Lepisosteus oculatus: one gene and its partner. The protein of the gene in region 2 purifies or fractionates together with the protein of the main gene of each other region. This does not show direct contact. Links are inferred from orthologs where the notes say so. Each region holds a gene or a part of one and is shown on either strand. Other genes may lie near its edges.

Region 1 (11,431 bases), on a different chromosome or scaffold from region 2:
AGGAGACTGCTACGTTAAACATCACAAAAGACGTATATTCTGAATTAGGTCACTTAACAGCTTCTTTGGAAAGTGTCTGGAAGTGATTATAATAGGTGCTTTTCAGACATCTGCTGATTAGCAATTTATAGATTACTAACCTTTTAACCTTCCCTTCACTAATGACTGGTATTATGTGAAACCAGCTATCAGAAAATATATATATATATATTTTAAATGATTTTTCTTAATACACTGAAGAAGGAGACAATGGATTCTCAAAGAGATTATTTTTTACCGGATGCTAAGGCCTTTTAGTGGGGGGAAAAAATAATGAACACATAAGATGTCCCATTGAAGAGAAGAGAAACGAACATCATGGACAAGACTGTGAGAAACTGCCTCCTACTGAGAAGCCAATGGGTTTTGTTGTGTTGAAATGGGCAGCACACAAATTAGCACACACAAAAATCAGAGATAAATGTATTGGCTCTCAACAGCTAATCGACAGCTAATCCAAACTGGAGAAGATGTTCCATCTTTGAGCCATTCTTTGAATTCAAGTTACCAAGCCAAGTCATTTTTGTTTTAAAGTCTGTTACTGTACCATCGTTAGCGCTTTTAATAGGGGAGGAAAATGACAACAAATGCGTTCCTGATACACAGCAAAAGGATCATTTCAAAAGATTGATGGAACTGCACAATCCATACTGTAGTTCTTTGAATACATGTACAAGACGACGCTCAATAATTATAAAATGTAGGCTCCACAAAAATTGAGAAAATACAGTACCTGACCACGTTGCTACGTCAGGATGATTTTTAGTACACAGCAGTAAACTTGCACTGGAGTTGATGCTGGTTAAATAAATTGGTTTAAATCGAGGAGTTACAGCCCCGATACATCATCTTCCCAAATCCATAAAAGGTAAAACAATAAAGATATGCACTAGATTACAAGAGCTGATTGCACAGTTGCACATTACATGAGTACTCATCTTAACCTCAGGGCCAGCGGTGTGGGAGTAGTTTCTAAATTGACCTTGGCTCACACTGCAGTCTACAGTACTGGGCTGTTGCACTAAATCTGTAAAGGAAGCAAAGCCTGCAGACACTGATAATAAATGCTGCTTATGAGCTTTCAAAACGGCACAATTCTCTTTTTGACTCATATCCAACGACACCATTGGGCGCTCACAGAAATTCAGTAATTATCAAGATCCTGCAATATGGAGATCTGACACAGTTGTGGTATTCGGTTACACAAAAATTACAGCACATGCCAGCAACCATATCACCCTGCAACTCACAACTGGCAACCCACTGAAGCTCAGCAGGTGTGAGCCTGGTCAGTACCTGGATGGGAGACCTCCTGGGGTTGCTGCTGGAAGAGGTGTTAGTGGGACCAACAGGGGGCGCTCACCCTGCAGTCTATGTAAGTCCTAATCCCCCATTATAGTGAGGGGGACACTATACTGTAAAAAGGCACCGTCCTTCTGATTAGATGTAAAACCAAGGTCCTGACTCTCTGTGGTCATTAAAAATCCCAAGACGTTTCTCGAAATGAGTAGGGGTGTAACCCCTGGCCAAATTTCCCATTGGCCCTCACCAATCACGGCCTCCTAATAATCCCCATCTATGAATTGACTTCATTACTCTCTTCTCCTCCCCACTGATAGCTGATATGTGGTGAGCGTTCTGGCGCACTATGGCTGCCGTCGCATCATCCAAGTGGAGGTTCCACATTGGTGGTGGAGGGAAGTCCCTATAACCTGTAAAGCGCTTTGTAAAGTGGAGTGTCCAGAAAAGCACTATATAAGTGTAAACAATTATTATGATTACATGTAGAACTACAATTGTGATACAGTTATCACAATTCAGACTTCCCATTTCCTGCGATGTGTAATAGGGTAAAATGTTAAAGACCATCTCCTGAGCAGCTGAAACAGTCAAGGGCTCTGTGTGTAGAGCAGGTGGAGCCCTTCAGTTAAAATTGCTGACTCCATGTGGTCATACCACAAGGTGAAGTAGAACAGTTTCTCAACAGTTTCTCAAAGTGGTGACACACAATTGATTGAGCACCTCAGGCAGGGGGCAGGGGGCCTGACATACAAAACCCAGGGACTCCTGTGGTTGGCTGGGAACCCAAAAGCCTGCAGTCTGGGGTCTGAGTCCCTGCTGCTGGTACTGTAGGCTAGCAATGCGAGAAGAGAGGGTGTTTGTTTCAGAGGACATTCCCAAGTACATGTGGGTCTTCATCTTCATCTCTCACGCTAGTCCTAGAGTACCAGCTTTAAATTAAATTGATGACCGACTGCCACCCCCAAAGTGGGGAACATAAAATTAGTAGAAATTCAATATTTCCAGCAAAAGAAAACACAACAGGTTTTCTTCGCATTTCTTGAAGAGATTTATGTCCACATGTGCACCAATCCAGAACCACAAGACACATGTGCTGATTGAAATACAAAAAAAAATATTCTGTAGAATAACCATTAAATAAGTACTGTTAGTCTCAGCTATGTTACACAGTGTATACAAACTCCAAAAGATTTATGCTAGTTTTGGTAACATTGGAAAGCACATAACTGCTGGATTCCAATGTTCCCTTCTTCTGAAAGAAGTCTTAAAGTTCCCGTTGAATAAACATGATACATCCTTCCTGCCAATTGCTTGCATGTGCACAATACAGCAAACTGCAGTCTACTGACATTGTATTAGAACATCTTTTGTTCTTCATACAAACTGCTAACTTCTCACTCCTCAGCAGCAAACGTCACCAGCTCTGGTCCAGAGGGCTGGAAGCTGGTTTTCTAGCTCTCAAATACCATAACCTGTAGAACAGGGAGATGTTAAACTTGTCCAATACAGCCAATAGTGAATCCACTGAAGTCATTAAAAGCCCAGCTGGGCTGAAAACCCACAGACATACTGGCCCTCCAGGACGATAATTGGGGATCCCGGCTCTAGGGATTTTAAAGGGGACAAATGAACTATTTATATACAGCACTTCACAGTTAATTGCATGGTGGACATTCTTTATATTTCTGTATATTAACAGCAATATACAGGATTAATATAAAAGGATTTGACAAGCTAAAATCCTTTTAAGAAACTTGCTTAACGTACAGGGCAGTTTTTAAAGCCTTTTTTTGTTTGTTCGTTCTAGAGAAAACTATTCCTGAAGTAATCTTTTCGGTTTTAACTTTCAGATTCAAGGCATGTAAGGAAGGAAACAACTTTTTTACACATAAACAGAGTGTTAAAACTAAAATGACTAATTAATAACCAACACTCAGCCTACCAAAAACATCTGTGACATTCAGTATAAGGTTAATGCGTCGATTACTGTTATTCACGATACTTTGTGATTGGCGGAACATCTTCTATTTTTAAATGGTCCAGCAATTCACACTACACAGTCGGTAGTAACTGGGTGACAAGAGACGTGAAAATTAAACCACTTCAATACCATATTAATGTATTCCTTGTCCATGATAAAATCATTTTAAACGTTTATTTAAAAAAATTAAAACGGACTTTTCCCCCTTTTGTTATTTTTAAGGGAAAATGTTCCAGATAATAACAAATCTGGGAGTTTTTTTATTTTGCGCATCAAACCGAGTTTCCCTCAATACGTAACAATGTTTAAATAGTAAACAAGTGGAAGTATATTTGAATCAATGTTTAAAAACACTAAATGAAAATATTTATACAGTTTTTGTTTGTAGTAATTCACTCGGTTGCACAAGTTTAAAAAGCATTTACTGTAAAGTATGTTAATGTTGCCAGCACTGTAGTTCAATTCAATGTTACCATGTTCAGCAAGGTTGTGTAAATAGCAGATCCGCGGCTCAAAACGCCAGATTCAACGCAACGGGTTTCAATATTAAAATAAATTTAAACAACCTTCAGTATCTGGTCAAAGAGGAACTAGTGATGTAAACCTGCCATGCACTTAAATGTCTACTACACAAGTACAAATCATATGACTAATTTCGTTCACCTAAACCGCAAACGCGCTGCTGTGGATCCCAGTCTCTGCATTATTCAGTGTTAATCTACCTGGCCTAAGAATCTCAATTACAACGCCGAATTCTGGATGATTATATTTCAATAAAGAAAAGTTGTTTCAGTGTTTCACCTTCCACTGCGCCCCCTCTGAAACGAGCACTGCAAGGTACGATTGGAGATCAATATCTCTATCCTTCATGAAGAATATAAAGCGTTAGTTCTCTATGTACGATCAGTGGCAGTTTTATAATGGAATTGTTCCGCGTTGTTAAAACCGTCATAAAATTAAAAGTTTACATCCCTATCGCCGATATGGAGGAATATAACATGCGGCCTCCAAGCTCTTCCGATAAATTTAGAGTGTGATGCAAAGTAGTTAAATTCTCCACTTCAAACACCAAAACTTTCTATCATATTACTACCACTCTGGTTTACCACAAGAAAACAACCACGCGAGTTTCGCAGCTGCTAGCAAAACTCCATGGCATAAACAGCTCAGTACTGCTTCTGTACAAGGCTGATTGTTTGCTTGTGGAAAGCCCACCGCTTTTTTAAAAATGCATTTTTCCCCCAGCCTGAAATCAACGTAAAATGCAGTTTAGCGCGGTTTCTTTCTCGCAAAACTTACCTGAGAAACAAGGGGAATGAGAGTCTGTTCCACCGAGCGCGTTTTGATCTCTAGCCCGGAATCAAAGCTACTACTGCCGCAAGGAGATGAAGCCATTCCCGCCGGTCTTTTCTTTTCTTTTTTTTTAATTTCTTCTACTGCAAAGCACAATTCGGTTTGAGCTTTACTCCAGTTTTTAAAAAGGGGGAGCGCTTCTCTTGCGGACCGGCAAGTGAAAACCTAATCTCCGTGACGTTTATTTGTTTTTTGAAGTCATCGGCATTACTGGAGAATGCACTCGTGTTCGGCGTTTCTCCTTGCGATAATGCCCACACACTTCGCTCAACTACAGTAAACTGCCCGTGCGAACACTGCACCGCTGACTGCACCACCAAGAGGGTCTGAACACTACCGGGACTCGCCGAGCGGTAACTGGCTTGCTCTGCTGTGCTGACTCTCGCAGCGCCTGGTGACGACATGGTGCCATTCAACACCGCTCCACGAAACACTGCTCTGTCCCATTTCGTATTCAGACCGTCTCCGAGCACATTCCTACTTCATAATCATATTGTACTCTGTGCAACACCTTGATTAAAAGATCTGCCACACTCTTTTCCACGTTACTGTTCTTTTTTTTCCCCTAAACGTTTTGTGGACGTTTCTGTTTTAAATGTACAACATACTGGGAGATTGTTATTCATGCTTTGCCCAGAACATACTGTGGCAATTTATTTGTTTTCAAAGAAAAGACAGATGTTAATATTTCTGAGAGTACGAGGAAATTCCTGTAGGAGCTCATAAAACAAATTGGCTGTAGTTCCGCTGCATTTTCAGGGGCTACATCTCACGATTTGCAGGAACTTGTGTGAAACGTAAATGTGAAGTAACATAATTCTGCACAACCTGTATCTTTCAATGATAGAATCCAAAAGATACAAAACAACTGACAGATACAAAAGTTGAATGTAAGAAACATAAGTTAGAGCATTAACATCGTGACTTGTTTCTAACATGTCCAGTGCACTTATAAGCTAATTACAATCTAAGAAATATATATATGTATAAATGCAAAATAATGTATTATGCCCATTAGCCTTTTATTACCAGTTATGCAAGAAAAGGTCAGCTGTTATTTGAGTCTCAGTCATGTGGAGTTACATTGCATTTTAGGCTGTAGATCTACACGCCATTTAGGCACTGAGCTAATAATGGAAAATCATCCGTGGTCTATTTGCAGCTCATCCAGAACTTTACTATTCATCTCATACTCTCTCAGGCTCTTTACTTCTCTTTATTTCTCCTTCAGATTTATCTATCACCTCATTCCTTACACTTCTTAAGGCTCACCTGCAGCCCATATTCATTTCTCAGCATTAACGTAATAGATAGATACTTTATTGATCCCATGAGGGAAATTGCAGTGCAACAGCAGCTTAACACAGACAACACAGCAACAGTGTAACGAATGATACAACAATAATAATAATACAATACATACAATACAATCAGTACAGTGAGGAGTGCACTATGAAGAGTTACTCACAGTCCAGAACACACAAAGAACAGAACAGTACACAAAAAAGTCGTATTGCACAATATAAATATAAATATATAAATGTATTGCACAGGTCCCTGGCATATATTGCCCAAAAACGGTTTTAAACGGGGAAAAAGAAAAAGAACAGATGTATCAGTTTACTGTTCAGTCCAGAAACAGGTCACTGTCAATGTTGCCTCTGCCCAGACGCAAGGTGGATGCGTTGTACAGTCTTATGGCAGAAGGCAAGAATGACCTCCTGTAGCGCTCCCTGTCACACCGTGGAGGGATCAGTCTATTGCTGAACGTGCTCTTCATTTCCACAAGCATGTCATAGAGGGGATGGGAGACGTTGTCCATGATGGCCTCTAGTTTGGACACCATTCTCCTCTCGGCCACTACCTCCAGGGGGTCCAGGCCAGACCTAATGACGGAGCTTGCTTTAATGTGATTAACTACAATACTGTAGTTACTAAAATTATTTTGTTTGTATTCTCTTACAGTATGGCTCTTTTTGTTACCTATCCCTATAGCACAGTACTTTTTCTTTGACATAGGTATACTGTAACCCAAACAATAGATGTGCCTCGTTGTTCCATCTGTGAAACTCAGAATGGAACGGATGATTTACAGGTTACAGATACTGCAGCACTCTCAGAGATCTTCAAGTTCTTGGTGTCGGGCTGTAAACCCTGGGTTAACTGGAAACCAATGGTTTAAAAAATGCATCTAAAACCACAATCAATTACAAAGAAAAAAAAAGTATTTCAATGTAGTATCATTGTAATATAATGTTCAGAGGTCCATGCTGTTTAAGTGTGATTATTATTGCATATTGCAGAGGGGGTTCTGCAATAAACCATTGGAGGATGAAATAAATATTATTGTGGAAATGGGTGACTGTGCCTTTAAATGAAAGAATTTTACCATTTCCTAGTATTAAGATTTTTAGTGCTACAGTGCCTTCAGAAAGTATCCTCCACCACTGCACAATTGCAAATATTGTATTATGACTGGAATTTTGAATGCATTGAAGTTAATTTTTGCCTCGTTTAACACAACACACACAACATTTTAAGGGGGCAAAATATTTTTAAGATTAAGATTAAGATCACTTTATTAACCATATACAATTTCTTGCATTAGCAATTCGTCTTTTCGCATACCCCAGCTTGCTCTCCACAGACACACAGATATGGAGAGAAGCTTGGGGTCAGAGTGCAGGGTAAGCCTTTGTACAGCACCCCTAGAGCAGTTGGGGTTAAGGGTCTTGCTCCGGGGCCCAACGGAGTAGGATTCCTCTGCAGGCTGCAGGATTTGAACTGGCAACCTTCCAACAATTTCTATTGTGTAATGAACATTTGTCTGAAAAATTTAAAACCGAAATATCTAATTTACAGGCAGCACAGCGGTGCAGTGGTCAGCACTACTGCCTCACAGCACTGGGGCCCTGGGTGTAATTCCAAACCTGGGGTGCGATCTGTGTGGAGTCTCTATGTTCTGTCTGTGTTTGTGTGGGTTTCCTTTGGGCTGCTCTGGTTTTCATCTACATTCCAAAGACATACTGGTATGTTAATTGGCTTATTAATTGGAAAATTAGTCCTTGGCGCAAGTGTGTGTCTGTATTTGTGTCTGAGTGTCTACCCTGCAATGAACCACCTGTTTAAATGGTCAAACTTAAAATGTTCTTAATGTTTCAAATTTAGGGTTAATTAAGGGTGATCCGCAGTACCTGCTGGATTATGGTTCACCAGGAACAGGGTTGGCCCTGTTCAGTACAGGGTTCTGTTCTAAAGCCTTTCTGCGCCATTTTGTTTAATGGAGATAAATAAAATTTGTAACCTAGCCCGAAAGAAATGTTTAATTTGATTTCACTACCCTTTCATATTCCCGTAATTAGTGATTCATAGTTTTATCAGCCTCCTGTCTAGCATTTAACAAAGAGGTTTAAGAAGCTGCTGAGCTGACATCCATTTCAATCTAAAAGAATGAAACCTGCAATATGAATTATTTATGTTCTCTGTTCCCTCAGCAGTTATCCTTTAGTGGAACAGGTTTGGGGGAGGTGGACAAACAAATCTCTTTAAATGAGGAAACGTTACACTAGGGGCTTCAGTTATGAATGCTTTTACAGCTGTGCTGATGTCTGAGAAAATGAAAATGTGAAACTGACCAGGAGTGTTCACAGTCTTGTCATAGTTGTAACTAACAAAAATACCAGTTATAATAACACAAAGCTTCGTGACACTGGGTTTGGGAACCTTACCAATCTTTCGGAGGTGGGATTGAGCCATTTTCTTATTCTGAACAGAATAAGACCTACCACATCTAGCTAGAGGCCTGCTTCTTCTTTGTCACACAGCATCTTACGACATGTCCTTTGTGGTACGATGTTTTATTGGCCCTATTTATTGTAGCACGTAAGACTTGTTTGTCATCTTGGGTGGCTTTTGTTTCTGAATTCTCACTCATTGTCGGAATAAAGTGACGGAGATTCACAGTGCATTCTGTGGTGGTTCGATGAATTACAATGTAAAAATCCCAATAGGTGCAACTCACGAGACTGACTGTGTACCCAATTTGTTGTGTTGGTGCCTTGTCATTACACCTGCGAGCTGCAACCAAAGCTAGGAGAATAATCAAAATTCTGAATTGATACACTCAACAATCAGGTTATCAAATCACAGTTTTGTTAACTACATTTCGCAGTTGAGGTTAGAAAAATGCCCAGAGAACCTTAGAGTATCCTTTAGTCATACTTACTTAGTCATACATATTCTCTAGTCATACTGTACTTTCAATAGTACCACAAATTGAGGAATGTGCTAACTGTAGCATCAACTCTTAACAAATTAACTGACCTCATTCACAATTTAACTCCTGTTTCATGAGATAAACATATGCAAATGTCATTTTAAGGTATTCGTTTTTTGTTGCCTCGGTTAGAGTTATGGTTGTAAGGAAGAAATCGTATTGCTAATAGAAATAAGCAGATCAGGAGATTGTTCTGACAGCACATTTATCTAGAGAGGGGAATGGAGAGATACTGTATATTAAAGTGGTTCTCCCTCCTTCTCCCACCTCCTAAGCGCTCAAAACTAAAAGTATTTGTGTAAGATGTAGGGCATTGTTTACAGATAAAATGAGGTCTAATTGCCCTTGACAATTCTGTGAAGATGTGCTTAGTGACCATTTACAATTTGAGTTAAAAAGTATAAAATCTTTCAAATAAAACATTTTCTTATTTCCATATTCTGTACGTGTAAACCTCAGATTCGGTTTCAGAATTTTTGATAGTCGTATCAGTTCAACAACAACAGCAACAAGCAATCAGTTATACAACAATATTGGAGGCGATTGATGCAATGTAAACAAAACAGCATCTGAATGCTTTTGACATGATTGATATTGACTGTGTTTGCCTTACATACAGTGCCATAGGGAGCCAATATTTTAACACAATACATAAGCTACAGCTTTACACTTCAAAACCTCAATATCCTATAGTCAAATCCCCAGCGTATTTTTACTTACCACTGTGTAAAGTACCTTTCAAATGCAGATTTCTTCCAAGAGCTTTTTTTTAAATAGCAATATATTTCATTTCTAATTTAATTTAAGCTTGATCAGTTGTATAAAGTATATGAGCAGCTTAAAGGGTCTGACCAGCTAAATTAATGAATTTGTGCACTTTTTCCAAGTAGGTGTCAAAGCTGAGTTGCCAGTGCACTGAAAGAAATTATTCTGGAAGGAGCAAAAGTTGTAAATATCGCCAAAATCAAAACAAATTTGAATAATTATAAAATAAGGGAATTAGAAACCGAGAATTTCTTCAGTAAAACAAGAACTGAGTGGGGTGTGAGTAAGATGCATTTTTCTGAAACTGAATGCCAAACAAAACGGCAATTCAATTTTACAAAGCAATCCGAATGGCTAGGTTTTGACAGTGGTGCTGTCTTTTCTCATTGAAACAGTCTTATATCTACTTCACTTAGCATTCCTGCTCTTTTCTCAGTATGAAATATTAAAAATCTACAGGGGCCTCAGTTCTATTGACTTTCCTGTGTTGTGAAAAAGACAGGGCTATAAATTACAGCCAAAGCCATAGGATAGCCTGATTGACTTCTAACACCATGGTTTTCTTTTTTCTTACATATGGATATTCAAACCAAATGCATAGTTCCGAGGATTATGGCAGTAGTTGGCTTAGTAATTAAACAGCAATTAATTGCAGTTATGTGACTAGTTAAGACTGATCCCTGTTAATTGTATTCGTTTTGTGTGAACATACAGTAGTCAGGGAAAACCAGAAAAGATACAGTGTATTAAAGGCGGTGTGATAGTACAAGCAGATTGTTGCTCTGTTCAGTGGTTATATTGATCTTTGTGTCCATCATAGTAGTCTCTTGGGTACTCTTGGAGTGGCTACATCTATAATAACCACTGAGAAATTAAATCACATGTGTTTCTCAAGACTGAGTCAGGAGATGAGTTCAATGCATTGTGAACACCAAAAGTACATTGTGACCCCAGTACTAAAGATCCCTACATTTTCTGGTTATCATTGGTACAGTTTCTTTTTTGGTACTGTATATGACCTCTCGCACTGTGTTTTTATTATTGGGGTATTATAGACCATGAAAATTAGATAAAACCTGGGAACGTTACAACAATATTTTCAAATACTTGTTTTTTTTAAGTTGCAAAATGTGAGATGCCCTCTTTTCTTTCTGTGAAATTAGTCGTGAAATATTCAATAATGTAACCTATAAACATTGACATATACTTTGTCAATTGGTGGTATTTTGAGTACCTAAATACCCCTTTTATCATCAGTATGACACATCATTTCTCATTGGATTCTCTTCTACTATCTGACACAACAGTAAGGAACAGAGCTGGAATTCTTATTTTATTATTTTTATTTTATATTGTAACACTCCTGGATTCACATGGGTATGCACCCTCACCACCGCTACCTCAGATCAGCCCCCCCACCGCTGGGGACTTGAACCCAGGCCTCTGGCATCACTCAACAGGGACCCAGCTAGTTGAGCTAGAGAGAAATCTCCCTGTATCCCGTCGGCTGTGGTCCCTGCTATTCACAGGGAAGGGTGGTGACGTCACTACGCTGGTAAGCCGGCTCGTACAACCTGCAATGGTGGCCGTATGCTTTACACTCTCCCCCGCTATTCGACGTCCTCGGCGAAGGGCTATCCCATCCCACTGCTAACACCAATGTTATGCTCTCGGATTCATGTGGGTATGCGCCCTCACCGCTGCCGCCTCAGGTC
Region 2 (11,206 bases):
GACGTAGCTACAGTACCTACAGTACTTGAACTACTATAATCTTTTTTTGTTTCATTATTGTTTTTTGTTGTTTAGTAAAGAAGACATATGTTTCTAAGCATTCAGAAATATTTTATTACTGGAAGAAGGAAGAAAAACTTGAAGAACATAAATAATTCTTGATAAATTACTTGATAATGAGGCCTCCTTGCAGGTAAAAATGCAAACTAAAAATGACAGGTGTTTAGGGACAAGCTACATGTATGGTTAGCCAGAGAAGAAAAAAAAACAACCTCAAATTATTTAGACAAAAAGCAGATGAACTGAATGGAAGAACAGAATTTTCTATTCCCACTATAATAAAAACTGAAACAAACATATATTTTTAAAGAAATTAAATCCTACAATGGGTTTGAGAGGGGTCTGTACAGTGTCAGTAAACATTTCAATCTGGGTAAAAGTAACTACCCATATCTGATATATTTTCCCTTAACAGGGGAACAACATGAAGACAGTGGCATTCTGTTAGGAAAAAAAATAGATGAAAAATTTGCAGAAAAGAAACATTTAAAAAAACAACGTATCCAGGAATTCAGGTTCTGTGCCAGACAGCAGATGCCCAGATTATCTGGAGGCACATCTGATACACTCCAAAAGTACTGGCAGAAAAATTGAATTTATGTCCCTTAATCAGCACGTTGTCAACAGAGATGTCAAAAACAGCATAGTGTGACTCTATTACAATAAGTCCAAGCAGAGGTGCTGCATCCAGGAAATTGATAAATTATGTTAAGACAAGTTCTGAGTTTAACAGAAAGGTCATTAAGCTTAGAAAGTGACATCAACCTTAATAACAGGGCTCAATGATGACTATGATAAATACAGTGGACTGTAATTCCCCTAAGGGGACGGCCTCTGAGGACTGCACAGTAGCCACTAAAAAGGGTAAAAGCTATCCAAAGCCAACACTTCAGACAGGTGTCAAACTACATTCTTAACTTTGGATGAATTAATACACCCATGCATCCCAAAAACGACCTCACCACAAATCATCTAAATAGCGACCATAAATCATCTCTTGAATGAAATGAATGAAAATGAGCAAGCAGTCCATAATTGGCTTTATTTAAAGATATGAATATTTTAGGCATATTGAGTATATACAGTAGATACTAAATAATCCACCATAAGCGACAACACAAGAATATGTTTGCTGGAGCCCCGAACAATAGCTTTAAACGCCATTCATCTGCTAAACCTATTTTCTTTTCATAAGCACTGAACTGTGACTGTATTTTTAAAGCTGTATTTTTTTTTGCATTCTGTAACATTTTGTTTGAGACAAAATTATTATTCTCCACATTTTCTTATTAGGTGAAAAAAGTATGCAAATGTTTGACTTGAAGTGTAAAGAAGAAAAGTTATAGCTTGAAGTGTACGTCTGGACCCAAGGCTGAGTGCGACTCTTGTACTGTATTAATATCCTTTCTCAACAAAAGAAAGTGCTTCCTCTTCTTTGAATGAAATTAATAAAAATCAATTCAGAAAATAACCTAAAAGTATGCTGGGAAAAAAGTTTAGTCTTATTTTTAAGTATGCCGGTTGTATAATCTTTGTATCATACCAAAAGCTAATGTAGATAAACTAAATGGCAATTTCAGTATTAGTTATCATTACAGTCCATCAATAACCTACAGTAGTATGAACTGAACCTTACTAAAGATTAATAACATATTTGACAACAAAACTCAGATTGTTCTCATATATACATATGCATCTCATACATGTTTTATTAAGCAATTTAGTGTTAATTGTTATGCACTCATAATGTGATATTTGCATATCACTGAAGATTAAATTAACACATTACTTGTCAAGCTTTGTTCTTCTTAACATACCAGGAAAACCAACAACCTCCTTCTCATTTAACTTATGAAAAAAAATATCTTTGACTTTATTTGATATTCACTAATGTATTAATGTGTGCAATGTCTTCAAGTACACAATCTGTGTCCATTATGAGAAAAAGGGAGAGTCATTACATTTTAGAACAAGGGAATTTTCAGATTAGACTCATTGATGTATTGTTTCATAAGTTATTAATGAACCAGACCTAGTTCTATTCATGGGAACACAGGATAGAAATTTTCCCTCATGACCCAAAATAACCAGTGGAAAAGTGTCTATAATAAGTAATAAGATGAAAGACATAACCGAATAATTAGAATCCTAATTTTACATGTTATACAGTATATAGATGTAATATCTATATATCTCGGTTATACAGATGCATTTAATTTCTTATAGGACTACATAAAATTACGTAATAATACAGTACATGATCTCAAGAGTTTGAAAGCTGAGTATCCTGATGTCTTATTCCTTACAGTTAAGCAATATGATATAACTGATTGTGAAAACAGTGAGATTTATATGTTTTAAATTGAAAATATATTAATATTACTTTTTGGTAAACTAAACGTAAATACTCTAAGAGTATCTGAACTGAAAACCTAACATGAATGATATTTGCTAAATTTGTTAAGAACATACATTTAAAGTTTTATAATTGTCAAGTGTGGCAGTTAATTGTACCAGAAGATATTGGGAAAAGCAAATACTTCAGCAAGACTTTAAGACAAATACAATCTCTCTAGATAGAGGTATGTGACCATTTACAGAGGATAGATTTTAAAAGCCATAGAACTTAACAGACTGTTGAAATTACTGGATTCACAGTCTAGAATGCCTTGAAATGTGAGTTTGAGTAGTGGACTTGTTTTAAACAATAAGCCATTAATTCTTCCCACACTTTGCCAGAAAGGGAAAAAAGAGAAGAGCTTTGCCAACTCACTTTGTTTTAATTTTCATTTGGTCTTCAATTAAGTCTTGAATCTCTATTTAAGAATAACGAAACCTGGTTATATCTATATAGCTGGTTTTATTTGGAGAGTGACTAATAACGAAAAACATCTTTATGACCATCATCTAAACCTGTTTTTGCATTGTATAGAAAACATGATATGTTGAAGCACTTCTGAACCATATACAGCACTAAACGCTACTTTACACTGTAAACTAAGCATACTCTACAATCCGATTGTTTTAGTTAATATGAAGTATTTTTTTTACTGAATTTTTGTAATTTAGTCAAAATAATTTGTTCACCGCATCAGTTCTCTGGTGTCAATTGCTGGTGTTGCAGGAATACGAAGACACATTTTATTTTATATTTTTGAAAAGAAAAGCAAAATTCCCGTTTAGCTTTTTCTACGTTTTTATCAAGGCAGCATCAATAAGAACGAGATCAGTTGCGCCTGCATTACTTTCTGACAGCGTCCATTAACACGGATAGGTAATCACTTTTTTTGTTTGTTTTACTGAAACGACATTGCACGTTTGTTTACACAAAGAGACGTTAGTAGTTTTGTTAGACTGGGTAACCTAATCGATAAAATCCCCCACACTCTCACGCCACATTTAGTCTCAACGCAAGAACACACCTTTTTTCGCCCTGGTCCGCACACTACTACAAACAAAAACAAAATAACGATTTCTTACATACCTAGAGGTAAAATTAAGAAGAAAGGTAGCCAGCAAAGGATGAACACCCCGACAACGATGGCCAAAGTTTTGGCCGCCTTCTTTTCTCTGGAGAATTTCAGGAGGCGCACGGACAGGGAACTTCGGAAAGGGTGGCTTTTGCTTTTAGCGCTTGCGGCGGCTTCTTCCAGGACACTTCTGCAGTGAATCCTAAGGACGACTTCCACTGACTTATTCCTTTCTTTTTTCACCCCCGCTTCTAGGTTCTTAGTAGTCCTCCTGGCTACAATGTAGACCCTAAAATACATCACCAGGATGACCATGAGCGGGAGATAGAAGGAGAAAAGCGACGAGAAAAGGGCATAGCCCGGTTCTTCGGTGATGCTACAGATGCTCTCGTCTGTCGGCGGCGGTTCCTTCCATCCTAACAGCGGTCCTATTGAAATAACCATAGAGGAGACCCAGACAACTATTAAGATCACCACCGCTTTCTTTTCTGTCATTATAGTAGGGTATTTCAGGGAATGTTTCACTCCGATGTACCTGTCTATCGAGATTATGCACAGGCTCATAATAGATGCAGTGCAGCACAGCACATCCACCGCAGCCCAGATGTTGCAGAATATCCTGCCAAAAACCCAGCATCCGAGCACCTCTAAAGAGGCAGAGAAAGGCAGCACAATAGTACTTAAAAGTAAATCAGCTATGGCGAGGTTAATGATAAAGTAGTTGGTGACTGTCTGCAAGTGCTTGTTGCATACCACAGAAAGTATCACCAAGATGTTCCCCACGATCGCGAATAATATAAAAACGGACAGAAACACCCCTATCCCTATTGCCTGAGAATCCAATGTCAGCTCCATGGAGGTGTTGTTGCTGATGTTGGCAAAAGGTTGTTCCGCGAGAGACAGATTACCGGTGCCTCCGGAGTAATTTCCATTATCGTTATCATTGTTCGAGTCAGAAAAAGTCATTTTGAAACTCCATAAAGAAAAACGTTTTTTTTAAGTTAGTTCAGAGACACAATGAGACCATTAAAGCACTGCTGTGGAGCTGCAGTATGGAAATAATTCAAAAGATATGAAAAGACGCAAGAACTTGTGAACGCACGCTCAAGGTGCGTCTGTCGCACTGGAGAGTGGAAATACTTGTGCTTACATGTTTGTTGGAAAGCTTTGCAGCAACGTCATCACATTCATCCCCCCTACAAAAAAACACCAAAAAAGGTTAAATTCTAAATCATCAGTTTAGCAATATATCTCACTCTGAAGATCATTTCACCTCTTAGATTATTTCAACTTTTTTTCTGTTTTTCCATTACTATTATTAGTGACAGTTAAATTAGTTCTGTGAACGATATTCCTTTAACGTTTTGTTTTCTGCCGTGTGAAGAGTATTGCCCTGTTTGTTGATATTCCACAGACGACATCCACTGTGAGAAAACTCAAACCCAAATTACTGAGCTGCGGCTGAGATTTCACTGTCTCCTCCTCCCAGGAATGTAGTCTGTGACGCGACACATAATTGTTGTTGTTCAACGAAAGTCCACAAGAGGACAGCACATTCTTAATTTACAGATCATGTTCTACACAATCGCGTTAAAACTTCTTTCATCTATGTTTCTCTTTCTGTGATGTAGTTAAAAAAGTTAGGCAGATTTAAGTTTCGATACTCGGAGCTCAAGTGGAACACGTAACGATTTGCCTAGCTAGTCGTCGCTACGTGAAGGAAAAAACACTGTTAAGCCACTACACTGTCCTGATCTAACGAAAGGCTAACCTCTATTCCCATTGATGGTACGCAGCTGCTGTTCAAAACACTGCACACATCCCTCTGGCAAAACAGACATTTATTTTAAGAGCCACCAGAGGCTCATGTTGAAAGGTTAAGAGGGAAAGTAATCTAAAGGAACACACAGTCCTATAATTCATTCAGGATGTTATTCTTCAAGACGGTTGAGGTTTATGAACATTTTGCCTTCCTACATTTTCTTGAATTCTTAGTAATAATATTTCTGAAATATTGCACCACTGCAAAGACTTTTCACTGGAGAGCAGGACACAGAAAAAGTCTTCAGAAATAGCAGTAGAAATTAATCTAAAAAAAGCTGTGTCTAAATTTTACAGAAGGTTTAATCCCCTGTCTTTTTTATGTCTCACTTGGTATCATGCTATTCACTATTAAGTGGCACAATTCCCCAGCCTTGTCTTCATCATGAACTTGACTTCATGATACAACTGAAACAGATCTGTTACTACTGTGGTGTACAGCAGCTTTTTCCCTTTTGGCAGTTATGAGTTCATGGCAATGGCAGCCATAGGTTTTTGTTTTTGAAAACACCATTTGTAGGTATTTAGAAAATGCCATATTTGTTTAAGGAACTGGCTCTGTTCAAAGGAAAAAGAAAATCAAAATCAATAAGCAGTGGAAGTACAAAACCACATTGAAATATTGTCCGGACAGTGAGTAATACTGTAATTATTTGTTTGGGCACCAGGAAAATAAATTAATGATAATAATTTAGAATTTTTTACTTGTGGGTATAGTTACCATTATGAATTTTTAAACAGCACTGTGTAATGCCCTTTACACCTTATTTTCACTTGATAAAATGCTGAAAATGCTGGAGGTACTGTATAAGGCATGCAAGACTTTAGTTTGTTTGTTTAGACCTAGCCTGATTGTGTCGTAATCAGTAACAGATTAGGATATAGCTTATGATTTCAGCATATGCACGATAAGTTATACTTTTTATAAAACAAGGGAAAGGGCTGTAGTGATCAGAGATGACACTTCCCTTCACATTTACAAACTGCAACTGACACTAATATACCCAATTAGTCAGGAAGCAAAAGTCAGAAAATGAGCTCAGATACAACACATTTGGAAAAGTACATGTCTAAGGCTGATTGTTTTATTCAATACAACCACGTATCAATTTTCAACACAGTGATTTTTTTCATGCAAAGTGGTTGAAGTGTGATCTGAATTTGAATGTTTCCTCACTATTTTCTCACCCAGATAGCTCATATGCTGTATTAGTTCCTATCAGATCAGAGAAATGTAAGTGGGGTACTCAATGAGTACAGGAAAATTTAAGTCTCGTGATTCTGTTGCTACATCCTAGATAAAGTTTTCCATGTTCATGCTCTCTTTTTGTCCTAGTGGGGTAAGGTGATAGAGAGTTCTTTTGTTGATAAGAAATAGAGCATTATGTGACTGAATAGATTAGATTAATAGATTCTGATATTTTTTACTACAGACTAGAATGCCACAACTCTATCGTTCATGTGTTGACACTCACTACATTCACATAAATAAAATGTGTTTGTTTTGATGTAGCAACCGGATAAGAAAAGCGGCATCTTGCTGACAGGCTGATGAATCCAAGAGCTTGATCCCGGCGAAGGCTCGGACATTCACAAGGATGGATGGGGATTACTGAGGCAGATCGGAAGGCAGTCGCAGACGGGACTAATCTGTGAAAGATGGCGAACGCAGCTTTCAGGACTGATCTAGGCTACACTCTCCAGTGGGAATACAGGCTGCAAGTGAAGAAATGTGCCCCTGGTCTGGTGGTTGGCGACAACAGAAAGGCTGAGCAGGTTCAGGACAGACAGGGAGTCTTTCAGGTAGGATTCAGGCTGGGTGTCATTCTGAGACACAGGTTAATAATGCTTAGTACACTACCTGGGTTGGATGGTACCTCAATGACAGAGCACTGGATAAGTGGCAAATTCTCTTTTGTATTTCCTGGACTTGAGGGAATTAGCACCCATTTGTTGGAAGAAGGTGGTAGGGACAACGGACCCGAGAGAGTCTGAACAGCCCAGGGTGGTGTTCTAGTACATTGTCCTCTTGCTGATATGTCTGGTTACTGAGGAGACAGAGATCTGCGACCTCTGGCTAACCCAGGTATAACAGCATAGTTATTACAGTCCATTCTCCATTCTGTTGCATTTTCTTTTAGTTACCCTTTCTGATAGGGCTATGTGTGCATACATTTCTTATGTAACATGGACAACGCTTTCTCTCCTGTCTCTGAATGTATTGTTGTGCGAATCCATCACACCAACAGTAATTCACTTAACTGTCTGGTGAAGATTTACCCAATATAATTAAAGCAATAAGAAAGTTCACTGATCCTTGATGTTCACATGATAAAACCTGAAAAGTTCTACTGAGAATAAGGCATAGCATCTTCACTACAACTCCTTCTCTCATCCTGTGGTAAAATCTCTCCCTTTGTGTGGCTTTCCTCCTGGTGCTCTGTTTTTGTCTTTTAAGTACGGTATAAGTCATACATCAAAATTGGCTCTAGTGTGAGTGCATCTATTTGTCTGTGTCTGTGTGTGCCCAGTGATGGACAGGTGTCTCATCCAGGGTGTATACTGTCTTGCACCCATTGTTTTTAAGGATAGACTCCAGCTCCCCAGTGACTCTGAATTGGATGAAGTGGTTAGAGAATGGATGGATGGATGTTACCACGTGTTTATCTTTAATTGTTTATTTCCCAAAATACAACAAACACAAAATGGAACATGATATATTAGATAGCTTTATTAATCCCCTGAGGGAAATTGCAGTGTCAACACAGCACAGTGTAATGAAAAGATACAATAATAAACAATACAATACAGTGAGTACAGTCAGTGCGAAGTGCAGTAATTTGTTTTAATGGAGTATACAGAATTGCTCACATTACAGAAGATACAAAACAAACCAGAATGTACAGTACACAAAAGATGTAGTGCATATTATACATATATTGCACCAATTTCTAGCATATATTGCATAAAAATCAGTTGTAAACAGGAAAACCAGCTGTTAACAGAGAATTAATGTTTAGACACAAAACAGGCCAATGGTGCCCCTGCCCAGACACACAGTGGATGAGTTGTACAGTCTTTTGGCAGGAGGTAAGAATGACCACCTGTAGTGCTCCCTGTTGTGCCATGGTTGGATCAGTCTATTGCTGAACATGCTTTTAATTCTCACAAGCGTGTCATAGAAGGGGATGGGAGACTTGTTCACCATTCTCCTCTCAGCCACTACCTCCAAGGGGTCCAGATCAGACCCAATGACAGAACTTGCTCTTTTGATGAGCTTGTTCAGCCTGTTAGCATCCCCTTCTCTAATGCCAGAGCCCCAGCACACCACCACATAGAAAATAGCACTCGCACAACCGACTGATAGAACATATGGAGCATCTTACTACACACGTTGAAGGACGTGAGCCTGCTCAAGAAGTAAAGCCGGCTCTGGCCCTTAATGTACAGTAGATTATCTGTAACATATGTAAAGACTCAAAACTCAAAAATAGCCTAATTGAATGGGTTTGGAGGATAAGAAAAAAACATTTGACCAGGAAGTCACAGTTTTGTTGCAGTAGTACATCTTTCATGTCCTTTTGGCATTTCTGTTTCAAGCTGTGGAATCACAAATGTTTTGGGTAGGGATCACTTGCATGACTAAACAGCATGTGTTTGGAAACCATGGAAAACTATACACTTGAATTTGGAAAGGTGTACAGTATGACAGGATATATGTTGTCACGAAGCGTTCTTTCAGGACCCTATGCAGACAGCACAATCCGGGAGAAGTGAGGAAAACACGGGGAAGCATACAAAGGGGCTGGAAGGAAAACAGGGGGCGTATTCTAGGTGTGCTGGTGTTCAAGGGATGTGTCCGAGGCAAACAGTCCGAAGGAGTCCGAGGCAAATCCGAGAATATTCCAATGTCCAAAACTGGGAGATCCAACCTGACAGACAAACAAAGTTAAAAGGCAGGAGCGGGATCCGGTGGAGGGTTGGAGGAATAAAAGGGGGATAACGGGACCAGACGCTCCAGTCCTGGACCCAGAAGGTCAGGACGCCATTGAAGCCGATGCTGCCGAGTCGCTCCTGGACTCGCGGGGAGGTGGGCTTCCGGGCGTCCATCTTCCAAAGCTGAGACCAGATTGGCAGGAACGTCTGGCTTTTATAGGACATGGGGCAGGAACCAGAAGCAGGTGCTGGAGATGGAGACAAGGAAGGGCTGGAGCGTCCAAGGAGGGGTTTACGAGCGTGATGTGTGTACTGTATATCAATGGCCAAATCCTGCATTCAAATTAGTAAATAAATAGAAAATGTAATCATTTTTTAATCTAATATAATTTGCATTAAGTGGTTACAAAGAAAAGTATTTTTACAGTAAAAGAAATTAACCCAAATTCAGCAAAGTAAAGTGAGTGTGGCCCTTGGTGTAGCGTCAGTAAGGTCACAGAGTTCAGCTTAAGAAATGGTGCAGTTTTGAAGAGTCGACCTTAAACAAAATATCGAAGCAAAATTACCCCTTTCGCAGCCTCTAGCCTTGAAGAGAGGAAATTATGAAAAGACTTAATCAAAGCATTCAAACCCTGAATGGTATTGCACATTTAGCCTGAGAGACTACTTCATTCTCATCAATGACACAAGTACATGAGGACACAAGTGAAAATTACTATATAAGAAGTATATTTAGCACTGAAAGGAGGAGGTATACTGTAGGTGACTGAATCTCGCAATCCGGTAATTATGTAGAAACCAATGATTATTCTGAAAGGAAAAGCTGATTGTGATTAGATCAATATATTTCAACATTTAAATAAGCAGACCTGGTCAAATTACCTAATCTTTTTTTGTAGTCTTTTTTTTTGTTCTTATGTCATCAGATCACGTTCTAAAACAAAATCAGTAAAATCCAGAATTGTGTTGATGAAGGGTTATGCTTGAAATCAGAAAAATGACTCCTCTGCAGCAGGTTTATCTTGCCATTGTGATGGCATATTGGAGAGTGATGAGAAAAAAAGTTGACACCATTTCTCAGATGATTTATTATTAAGAAAAAGCTAATATGACTATCTAAACAGTGCCATTTCCGTGGATGTGATTATATGACAAAGCAATTCATAATATAAGGCAGCCAATAAATAATTTAATTGGAATTAGACACGCATCCTGCTTTGCAGTTTTTAAGAGTGTTATCTATGTGTCTATCGTCAGCTTTTTCTGAAGAGGCAGTGTGAGGGGCTTCTGTCAGCATGCAAGCTACAAAAGAACAAGAAGAGATTCATTCCAAGATGAAAAGGAAAAATATTTGGCTACGCTGCCTTCTTCTCCTATGAGGGGGCAGAGGGTGAGAACAGGAATAAGAAGCAAAGGGGAGTGGTGGCATTGTGGCTAAGGATCTGTGCTTGTGGCTGGAAGGTTGCCGGTTCAAATCCCGTGGCTGGTAGTGGAATCCTACTTGTTGGGCCCCTGAGCAAGGCCCTTAACCCCAGTTGCTCCAGGGGCAATGTATAAATGGCTGACCCTGCACTCTGACCCCAAGCTTCTCTCTCCCTGACTGTGTGCCTGTGTGAGAGCAAGCTGGGGTATGCAAAAAGACAAAGTCCTAATGCATGAAATTGTATATGGCCAATAAAGTGATCTTATCTTCCTAGGTGGAGAACTCAGGACAAAAAGACAGGAGAATGGGTAATGAGAATAATGAGATGGAAATCTGGGCAACCTTCTGAGGGAAGTGTGAAAGACAGCAGTCTGGAAGCCAATGCAGAGATTAGAAAGAGACTGTTGAATGATGGGGAAACGAATAAATCATGATGTTGGCTTCTGGTGTGTTTCTGGTATAAGAGTTGTTGAATCTCTGTTGACAGGATAGAAAT

Evidence for each region.
Region 1: the proteins of adra1d (region 2) and ctnnal1 purify together in Homo sapiens (tandem affinity purification; 3 studies listed by IntAct, with this or other methods). This does not show direct contact. The link is inferred for Lepisosteus oculatus from reciprocal best matches to the Homo sapiens genes ADRA1D and CTNNAL1.

Annotation. Positions count from the first base shown.
Region 1 is NC_090705.1:32,495,504-32,506,934, reverse strand, and holds the start of ctnnal1 (alpha-catulin), read right to left. Parts: upstream 5,044-11,431; 5' UTR 4,718-5,043; coding exon 4,622-4,717; intron 1-4,621. UniProt on the Homo sapiens protein: May modulate the Rho pathway signaling by providing a scaffold for the Lbc Rho guanine nucleotide exchange factor (ARHGEF1).
Region 2 is NC_090696.1:7,474,382-7,485,587, forward strand, and holds the start of adra1d (alpha-1A adrenergic receptor), read right to left. Parts: upstream 4,950-11,206; 5' UTR 4,497-4,949; coding exon 3,545-4,496; intron 1-3,544. UniProt on the Homo sapiens protein: This alpha-adrenergic receptor mediates its effect through the influx of extracellular calcium.